Drosophila melanogaster: one gene and its partner. The protein of the gene in region 1 purifies or fractionates together with the protein of each later gene. This does not show direct contact. Each region holds a gene or a part of one and is shown on either strand. Other genes may lie near its edges. The genes, in order: Fs(2)Ket and mud.

Region 1 (4,812 bases):
ATTGTTAGAAACAATTGAATGTGAAACACCTTAATTAATTCTTATCATTGGGCAACGTCTAATTTAAGGGCGTATAAACCGATTAGGATTTCTTGACCTACGGGTATATTAAAAAGTTGTTTAGATTTGTTTAAAGATAAGATGAAGCAAACAAAACCAATAGCTCACGCTTTATCATCCAATAGTTAGGTCATCTTTTAAAAGGGCTAACCCCATCTATTTGGGATATCAAACTAAAAATTATACTTTGTCCTGAATTTATATTGTTATTGTGTTATACTATTATTACTAAAAAGAAAATAACCCAAACATAATGCAAGGAAGCATGACAAGCTAACCGCGTTCCCTGGTTCAATTATTGGTTAGCCGCCACTATGTTAAGATTCTTAAGGTCGGGAGCCCCCGAAATCGCATTCGCGAGCCAGCTGAACCAACATTAGAACTCCCATCTAGCTGTCGCTAGGAAAGAGAGCTGGCGTAGGCAACGTCAGCAGAAGTTGAGATAGAGGGCCACATATGGACCCCACATATAACTAGTTACTGCGCTTATCAGTGCTTCCGCCTGTGACCACCATTAGAGGAATATAGAACCAATGTACATAACTAGTTCCAGTGCCTTTGCTAATTGTGGCGGGCGTGGGGCAAACACACCCACTATCTACGTACATATGTACATCTGCACTTCTGCACATACGTATACACCTACCTTGCATGTGGATGAGACGTCGGTTTTCTTGCAGAAATTGACCGGTGCCAGTCCGGGCAGATAGAAGGCCTGTGTCGGGGTCGCAAGGTGCAAGAGAACGACGCCCAGGAGCGGCAGAAGTCCGGATAGCAGGATCATCTCGAATTGGGGTAACCAACGAACGGCAGGAGTAGCAGACCTTCTTCCTTTACTTGTACGGGTTGTAATCACAACGTGGCCGTGTCCGCGATTCTCTGCCACACTTTCCGGATCGGCGGGCCACGCACAAACCGTACTATCTGGATATTTATCGGAATATACGGAGTTTTTCGAGTGTTTTTACTACGTTTCCTCTTTTTTGCCGAACGTCAGCACTGTAGCAGCGTTGCCACCTAGTACAGCTGAGAGGGCTGCCAACTGGCTGACAAAAAAACTACCAGCATTTGCAAAGCTAAATATTACCGCGAAAACCTTTAGCTCTTATTATTATTACGTGCAAAACGAAATTTGGTAGACTTAATAAACTTTTATATTTAAATTAATTAATTCCCCTGTTCAGTAAGCGAATGCAACCAATATACACACGTATACGTGTGATACTTCTAAGATATTACTATTTTTATCCACTGTTTCTTAATATAGTAATCAAATTTTGTTCATTTGTTAGTTTTTTACCTACGACTCTTAAGTCAAAGTATTCGATTATTTAGTTCGTTCGAGGTTTTGCTTCCGTGCTTATCTTTGAATATGAAAATTTTCGATAAGCACAATCATTCAAATTTAACGATTGATTTTTGGGGAGGCAAACGCGTTTTAATACAAGTAGTAAGTATTTTGGTCTTATCGTTCCTGACTAATAATATATTTTGTCAAATGGTTGCACATTTCCTACGCATTTAAGAATATTTAATTAATACGTTATTAGATTTAAAAATTATCGATAGTTCGAATAAAGCAATCGAATAGGTGTCGCCTTTTTCATCGAAACTCAGTGCTATCAAATAAAAATCGACATTCGTTTCAGCTCTATTTCAAATCGGAGACACAAGAAATATATTGCCTGCACTTCCCGAAGAGCAGATAAAGGTTCTGCCACCATTAAATAGGCTTATAATAATAACTAAGAAAATCGCCGTTAGGAATCCCGCGCTTTTTTACCGTTCCCGAAAAATAACCAAACAACAATGTGAGTAGAATGAAGAGTTCTACTGAACGCGCTTGTTGTGTGCGTGTGTGCGAAAAAATCAATTCTTTTGACAATCAAGGTGTTGCAACCTGTCGAAATAAAATCGCCAGCTTCAGCGGAGCAGCCCAATAACTTTAACTCTTTTGTCTCCACCATTTGCAGCCGACAGACTAGTGTTGTCTAGTAATTACGCAAAAATTCCATCACCCACACAGACGCACGAGCTGCAGAAAGAAACGGAAAGTGAAGTAGAAATCATATAGAGAGGAAAAGAGCGAAGACATGACTTCCGATATCGCCATGCAATTGATTGCCATTTTGGAAAAGACGGTGTCGCCAGGTGAGTTTCCCCACTGCTACAAACGTGTGTGTATAGATCCGAAAAATATGGATTTTTCTTCGATTGGCGGGAGGGACGCGCGTTATATGTTGCGCAGGGTTGCAATAGGCGCTCGCATATGTTTGGTTGCTAGGGGCCTCCGCACACATGTGCATCCACGTACATACTCCAAGGGAAACTTGGCGGCGCGTCTGTATGTATTCGCAATGCTTGCGCTCCTACAATTAAGGATGTACGAACCGCCTGCGACATAACCTCACTAACTCTAGGAATCGATGAGGCGTCGCTTCGGAGTCACCACCGTATGCTTGGCGGCCAGTTCTTCCGGTTGCTGATAAGGAATGCCTGCAAACTTGCCCCTTGCCTGAAGATTTTATGCTCCACCGCTACAATTCATTACTAGACCTTACTGCTTAGCTCTTCATATGCACACACTTCTTTCACCATCTATTGTATTCTTATTAAACAATATTCTCACTATATACGCCTTGCCTAAAAGTTCCTATCTTGCCTTCACATTCCCAAAAGTCAATTGTTGTAAAATTCAATGGCCTGATACCAAAGCTTTAAGCCGACCCAAAATGGTGGGCGTGTGTAGGCCCACAAATAAAATCTTTCGTTGACATAATTGGAAATTAAAAATGTCTAACCAACCAAATGACGCATTTTCAGACAAAAATGAGCTGCTATCGGCGAAGAACTTTCTGGAGCAGGCGGCGGCCAGCAACCTGCCCGAGTTTCTCAAGGCGCTGTCAGAGATACTGGTGAACACGGCCAACAGTGCGGTGGCGCGAATGGCAGCCGGTCTCCAGCTGAAGAACCACCTGACCAGCAAGGACGAGAAGGTCAGCCAACAGTACCAGGATCGCTGGCATCAGTTTCCCAGCGAGATCCGCGAGTTGATCAAGAATAACGTAAGTTACATACGCTGATGTTGAAACATATGACTTGTACAATTGGCACTGAATAACTGCGACTTACTTTCAGATCCTGGCTGCTTTGGGTACCGAGAACACCCGACCCTCCTGCGCCGCCCAGTGCGTGGCCTATGTGGCCGTGATTGAGCTGCCGATAAACCGCTGGCCCATGCTCATCCAGACACTGGTGAACAAGGTGGTCAGCGAAGGATCCAGCGAGATGCATCGCGAGTCGGCGCTGGAGGCCATTGGCTACATTTGCCAGGACATTCGTTTCGGCGTCATGGAGAACCAGTCGAACGATGTGCTGACTGCTATTATTCACGGCATGAGAAAGGTAGAGCCGAGCAATCATGTACGCTTGGCGGCCACCACGGCCCTTCACAACTCGTTGGAGTTCACCAAATCGAACTTTGAGAAAGACATGGAGCGCAACTTCATCATGGAGGTGGTGTGCGAGGCCACTCAGTGCCAGGACTCGCAAATCTGCGTTGCCGCTCTGCAGTGCCTGGTGAAGATTATGACCCTTTATTACCAGTACATGGAGCCCTACATGGCACAGGCTCTTTTCCCTATTACTTTGGCGGCCATGAAGTCTGATAACGATGCTGTAGCGCTGCAGGGCATAGAGTTCTGGTCGAACGTCTGCGATGAGGAGATAGATCTGGCCATCGAAAGCCAGGAGGCCACTGATCAGGGCCGCGCTCCGCAGAGAGTGTCCAAGCACTATGCTCGAGGTGCTCTGCAGTTCCTGACGCCTGTGCTCGTCGAGAAATTAACCAAGCAGGACGAGTGCGATGACGAGGACACCTGGAGCCCGGCGAAGGCCGCCTCCGTTTGCCTCATGGTGCTGGCCACATGTTGCGAGGACGAGATCGTGCCACATGTGCTTCCCTTCATCAAGGAGAACATCGAGTCACCTAATTGGCGATTCCGCGACGCAGCGGTAATGACTTTCGGCTCCGTGCTGAATGGATTGGAGACCAATACCTTAAAGCCGCTCGTGGAGCAAGCCATGCCCACGCTCATTCGACTGATGTACGACTCCAGCGTTATCGTGCGCGATACCATCGCCTGGACCTTCGGACGTATTTGCGATGTGCGTAGTGGTGATTTTTAAGGTGATTCATATTGTCATACTAACCTTCTACTGCTTTTTCCTGACAGATAATTCCCGAGGCGGCTATCAACGAGACATATCTTCAAACGCTTTTGGAGTGCTTCGTGAAGAGCCTAAAGTCAGAGCCGCGTGTAGCAGCCAACGTGTGTTGGGCCTTCATTGGACTTTCCGATGCAGCTTGGGAGGCAGCGGTCACCAACGACGGAGAGACTCCGGAGACGTACGCCCTGTCCCCGTACTTTGAGTACATCATTACCCAGTTGCTGGAGACCACTGATCGATCGGACGGAGCTCAAGCCAATTTGCGATGTGCTGCTTATCAGGCACTTATGGATATGATCAAGAACTCTCCCTTGGATTGCTACTTGGTGGTCCAGCGCACCACGCTGGTGATTTTGGAGCGCTTGAACCAGGTGATGCAGATGGAAACGCAGATTAACAATCACAGCGATCGTCATCAGTTCAACGATCTACAATCGCTTCTGTGCGCCACTCTGCAAAGCGTTTTGAGAAAGGTCCACGAGCAGGATGCGCCTCAAATTTCCGATGCCATTATGACCGCTC
Region 2 (5,309 bases), on another chromosome or scaffold:
ATGCTCATTTTGAATTGGTCGTTGTTAGCGAAGCACGACTGTAGCCACGAACTCAACTCAAATCCATTTCCACAGTGCTCTTCCTGGCCGTCTACCATGCCTGCGTCCGGAAGTCGGAGAACTCGCTGGCTGGCGTCCTGGTACCGGCGGGCATCATGCTCTCTTACGGCGCCTGGGTGGTCGTCCTGGCCAAGAGGGACAAGCACAGGCGTGCCATGTTTGTAGGACACACCAAATACGAGGAAAGCCAATGAATGATGCTCAGCGATGCTCTTTCATTTTCCAGGAGCGGCACATCGAGGAGGTGACGCTAAAGAACAAAATCGAGCTGGAGGAGAAGCATGCGCGCCACGCGAAGAAGGCGCAATCGCATCATGGTCACTCCGGCACCGATTCCACGGGCAGTGCCTCCAGTTCGCTGCACTACGTCAACGAGCTGCTGCCCAACGGTGGCGGTGAGCACCGCAAGAAGCAGCGACGCCATCGTCACAAGGAGCGCTCCGTGGAGCGAGATGATCATCATCAACGTAGCCATCAGCGCTCGCATACGCCGGACATTGGCGTGCATCGTGGAGCGCCCAAGAGGCCCAGTTTCCGGCAGAAGCTCTTCGGTCAGACCATCGCCCATGTCAAACTGGTGGAGGCGCAGAGCGATAGCACGGATTCAGCTGGCGCATCTGGTCCGGGTACGAGATCAGGTCGCAGTACGGTCGCCAGTCCAGGTGGCCAGGCCAGTGCTGCGGCCAAGCTCAATCCCGGCGAGAAACGACAGCGACTACAGCGCCTGGACACGTTGCCACTGGCGCAGGTGGTGCGTGTCAGCTCGATTCCGTGAGATATAACCATCTGGATGGATGTACATATGCATGTGGAAGTGGAGTAGTTCTTTCTTTTTTTTTTTTTTTTGGGGGGGGGGGGGCGGAGGCCCGACCTCGCCATTGTGTCGACTAAATAAATGTATTATAAAAAATATAAACAGGAAATTCGCCTTTATAAATAGACGGCAATCAAAAGGAAGGAAATGTTCCGATCTTCGTAACGAAATCAATGCTAAATACGTGAGAATTGTATTGTGCACATAGTTCAGCCCATCTGGCTTTTGAATATTTTCAAAATCGTGTGTTTACAACTTGATTTAAGTGAGTTGTAAAACTAATAGTTATGGAATAGTTTAGTTCGAGATTTTTTGGCGAGGTGTTTTCAAGTTGAAATTCAAGTATTGTAATTATTGATTTTCGATCAAGCTGATGGCTTTCTTTTTGTAACGCTTAATTTAGACAATAGTTTTTGAACCGCTTGTCGTTTTCGCACCACCATATTGTTTATTCTGCCTACTTCCTTACGTTAAAATGTTTGGTTTTTTCTCTGATTTTTTTTTTTTGCTTTACATGTACATCAGCGGTGCATTTCCATTGTTTGTCCGAATTAATGGTGGCGTTATTTTTAACGATCAGCACTATAACTAGATTTTCGGCTACCCTGTGCTCGTGTGCGTGCCCAGAAACGAGGATGGGTGGGTGGCAATTCCGGGCACATTGTTTTCGGTCATTGATTATTGTTATTACAATTTAATAGTTTACATGTGGTGGGCCACACTCGGTCGCTATTGGCCATCGGATTTTGGAATTCCCCGCCAAAATAGAAGCCACTTGGTTGCTTGTTTACTTGGCAGGAAATTCGCATTGTAGACCAGTGCCGCCATCTATGTGTGAGATTGGGGTAAACACAAAAGGCGGTTTCAATTATGGAATTTGCTTAGTTTTTCAGCATAGCGGGATTCAACTAGTTTTTCCATACTTGGAAAATTACATTAGATAATATATATTAATTACATATTAATATATTAATTGATAATTTCAATTGAAAATATCACTATATACTTTGGATACTTTGGTATTAAAGCAACAGGTTATTGCAGTTGGAGCCGTTCCACTAAGGCAGGAAAGCAGTTCGTAACAAAGTAGATTGAATTATTTATCAAATTTCATGTGAAACATTTGTTTCTTGAATTATGCAATATGCCATGGTGGAAACACAAGCCACTTCTTTCGCACAGATATCGATAGCAGAAACGCATCTAGTGGACGCGGCCTGGCTTGCAGCTGGAAAGTATCGATCGCCCGATAACAATACCCGAGCGCACCTCGCATGGCGTCGCGCTGCGGCATTTGAATTAAACGACGCGCCGCCGAAACGAGAAGTTGTTGCATTTTTTCGTATCTAGTTACCTATGTTTTCGTTTGTGGAACTGTCAAAATTGTTTGTTGCCCTGCGGACTTCAGTTTAGTCATTAAATTTTCATTGCTCGTTCGGAGCAGTTGTGCTTCTGGTTGGAAAATACAAAAAAAAAAACAAATATTCGGTTTTCGTGAGCATTTGTGCTAAATATATTTTTTGTTTAATTGCGTTTTCGATCGAAACCCGTTTGTTTCGCGTACATTGTTTTGTGTGCTGTGCCGTGTTCTGGAAAACATCCGTTACTGGATGCCAACAATGATAGTGTGATTAGTCTACGCAGACATTGAGCATACATATACGGGCGCACACACACCCATAAAAACGCACAAAAATTCGCAATGGACACGCGCAGCTGGCGCAAGGTCCTACTCCAGTGGGTATGTAAATCTCGCATTGCGCATCACGCACTGGGAATCATTTAGATTAACCCAATTCTGCGGCAGATTGGCGAGTGCCACTTCATCGAATCGAACTACATTACCTTGGAGCAGTCGGATCTGGACTCCTTCTTTTCGGTCTTCATTCAAAAGATCCAGGAGACGGAAAATGTTAAGGGGAAGAATGAGCTGCAGGATCAGCCCACAGAACAAAGCCCCCTTGTGCAGGAATTCCTAGCACGTAAGTTTTTTTTTACCTATTTTCCTAGTTTCTCATAGGGTATAGGGAAACATTAATAAATAGTGAAGCCTTAGTATGAGAATTTAGCGCACTTCCAACTTCATGAACCCACTAACTTGTAAATTTTCCCATGCAGATAACTATCCCGAGTTCATTGCACAACAGGATGACAAGGAAGTCGATCTGCCTTTGGATTGCCTTTACGTTTACACGCTCCTGTTGCATTACTCGTGCGTTAAGAAGCCCAGCTTGTTCTTTCACAACATCTGCAATAAACTGCCGGAGCTGACACAGACATGCATCGCATCCTTCTTTCGAGAGACCGTGGACAGGCTGTTGACGCGCGAATATCTTAGCCAGGCGATCGCCAACGTTGCAGTTGTTTACCGACAAGGGGTTTCGACCTCAGTCAGCCCATGTCTTCCCAGCAGCAGCCTGAGTCCCGATCCGAGGAGCGATGATGCACCATGCCCATCCACGCCCTCATCGTCATCGTCACAGCCGTCGAGCAGCACGCCACAGTTGCGCAATCATCGCGAACAACTTCGCCTGAATGGCTGCGAAATGCCACCTCCTTCGACCCCGAAAACGGAGCTACTGGAGCAACGCACCAAGGAGCTGCGCGGTATTCGTACCCAGCTGGAGGTGGTGCGCTACGAAAAGGCCTTGCTGGAGGAGCAGCAAATGGAGAAGGACGAGCTCATTAAAGTTCTCAACAAAGGTTAGAATGCTTCGAATGCATTACTTTCATAATTTTTTTACAAGTAATTTCATAATCGTTTGCATTTCAGAGAAAATGATGGCCAAGATGGAACTAGAAAAACTAAGAAACGTGAAGCTAACCGAAGAGCACCACGATAACGAGAGCCACCACATTATGCCATATGAGTTTGAGCATGTAGGTAGACTAGCGCAGATGGTCACAGGTAGCGAGCGGGAGCTATAAACTAATAAAACTTTTAATCCTCATTTCAGATGAAGGGATGCCTTTTAAAGGAAATCGGTCTAAAGGAGAGTCTCATCGCTGAGATTACCGATAAGCTGCATGATTTGCGTGTCGAAAATTCCGAGCTGTCCGAGAAGGTAAGCTACCTGTTCAATTTTATAGGGACTATACTATAAAGAAAATTCCACCGGGTCTTGTGCGAATGTTAGCGAAAAACTAGCAACTGTATAGATTATATTCGTTTACATTCAATTCATAATGAAATCTAATATATGTTATATCTTGCATTCATTAAATAGCTGAATCTGGCAGGAAAACGATTGCTGGAGTATACGGACCGCATTCGATTCCTTGAAAGTCGTGTAGACGACTTGACTCGTATCGTATCGTCCAGGGACGTTATGATCTCCTCTCTGGAGTCCGATAAACAGGAATTGGATAAGTGCCTTAAAGAAGCCCGCGACGACTTGCACAACCGAATCGAGGTCTTAAACGCATCCTCGGATTTACTCGACTGTTCGCTGTCGCCGAACACCACGCCCGAGAATTTGGCCAGTTCCGTGATTGACAAACAGTTGCGCGAGAAGGAGCATGAGAATGCCGAGCTAAAGGAGAAGCTGCTGAATCTGAACAATTCCCAGCGGGAGCTATGTCAGGCCCTTTCAAGTTTCCTTCAGAAGCACAATATCGATCACGAGTTTCCGGTAGAATGGACATCGTCGTCCCTGTTGTCCACCATTTCTGCGATCGAAAGTAAATTTGTTAACACGTTGGAGAAGAGTACGCAAATGAAGAAGGAATGCGACGTTCAGTCTGTGTGCGTCGAAAAACTACTGGAGAAATGCAAGCTGTTATCTGTATCGCTGGGATGCCAGCCAAAAGAGCTAGATGGATTCGAGGCCACAATACCGGAGGCAATGGAGTCGGGTTTCGAATCGAGCCGTGAGTGTGAAACCATTTTGAGTTGTTGTCATATGAAGGTAGTCGATATAGCATCGAAAAACAACGACCTGGAGTTAGACAACGAAAGGCTTAATGATAAATGCGCTGAGCTTAAATCAATAATTGATCGCGGGGATCAACATTTGGCCGATATCAATCTGCAGCTAATCGAGAAGGAAAAGCAGATAAAAGATGTGGGCGCTGAAATTCAGGAGCTGCGCAAAAGGAATATAAACCTTGAAAATATGCTCAGCCAAATTGCAGATAAAGAGGCCAGTGCGGCAAGCCATGCACAGCATTTGAAGCAGTGCGGTGAGCTTTTAAGAGCCAAGTATGAAGTGTGTCGAAATGAACTAATTGCTAAGAACGCGGCCCAAGATGAGTTGGTCCGGATGATGATGGTGCCAGATGGGGAGACCTTAAATGGGCGCGTACGCCAACTGATCGATCTGGAGATGATGCATGATGAACATAACAAGATGTATGCACAGATGCTGAAGCAATTAAATGAACTCAGCGCTAAACATGACAACATGACGCATTCCCATCTAGACTTTGTAAAGAG

What was found.
Region 2: the proteins of Fs(2)Ket (region 1) and mud purify together in Drosophila melanogaster (affinity purification with western blotting, with the first as the bait; one study listed by BioGRID). This does not show direct contact.

The regions. Positions count from the first base shown.
Region 1 is NT_033779.5:20,733,220-20,738,031, forward strand, and holds the start of Fs(2)Ket (female sterile (2) ketel), read left to right. Parts: upstream 1-1,691; 5' UTR 1,692-1,871; exon of another isoform or gene 1,872-1,950; intron 1,951-2,033; 5' UTR 2,034-2,153; coding exon 2,154-2,211; intron 2,212-2,883; coding exon 2,884-3,125; intron 3,126-3,198; coding exon 3,199-4,227; intron 4,228-4,295; coding exon 4,296-4,812. Other genes in the region: TM9SF2 (transmembrane 9 superfamily protein member 2), read right to left, coding at 707-844.
Region 2 is NC_004354.4:14,245,544-14,250,852, forward strand, and holds the start of mud (mushroom body defect), read left to right. Parts: upstream 1-2,188; 5' UTR 2,189-2,576; coding exon 2,577-2,615; exon of another isoform or gene 2,616-2,681; coding exon 2,682-2,856; exon of another isoform or gene 2,857-2,992; coding exon 2,993-3,577; exon of another isoform or gene 3,578-3,647; coding exon 3,648-3,754; exon of another isoform or gene 3,755-3,831; coding exon 3,832-3,939; exon of another isoform or gene 3,940-4,101; coding exon 4,102-5,309. Other genes in the region: CG32599 (uncharacterized protein), read left to right, coding at 76-221, 287-835.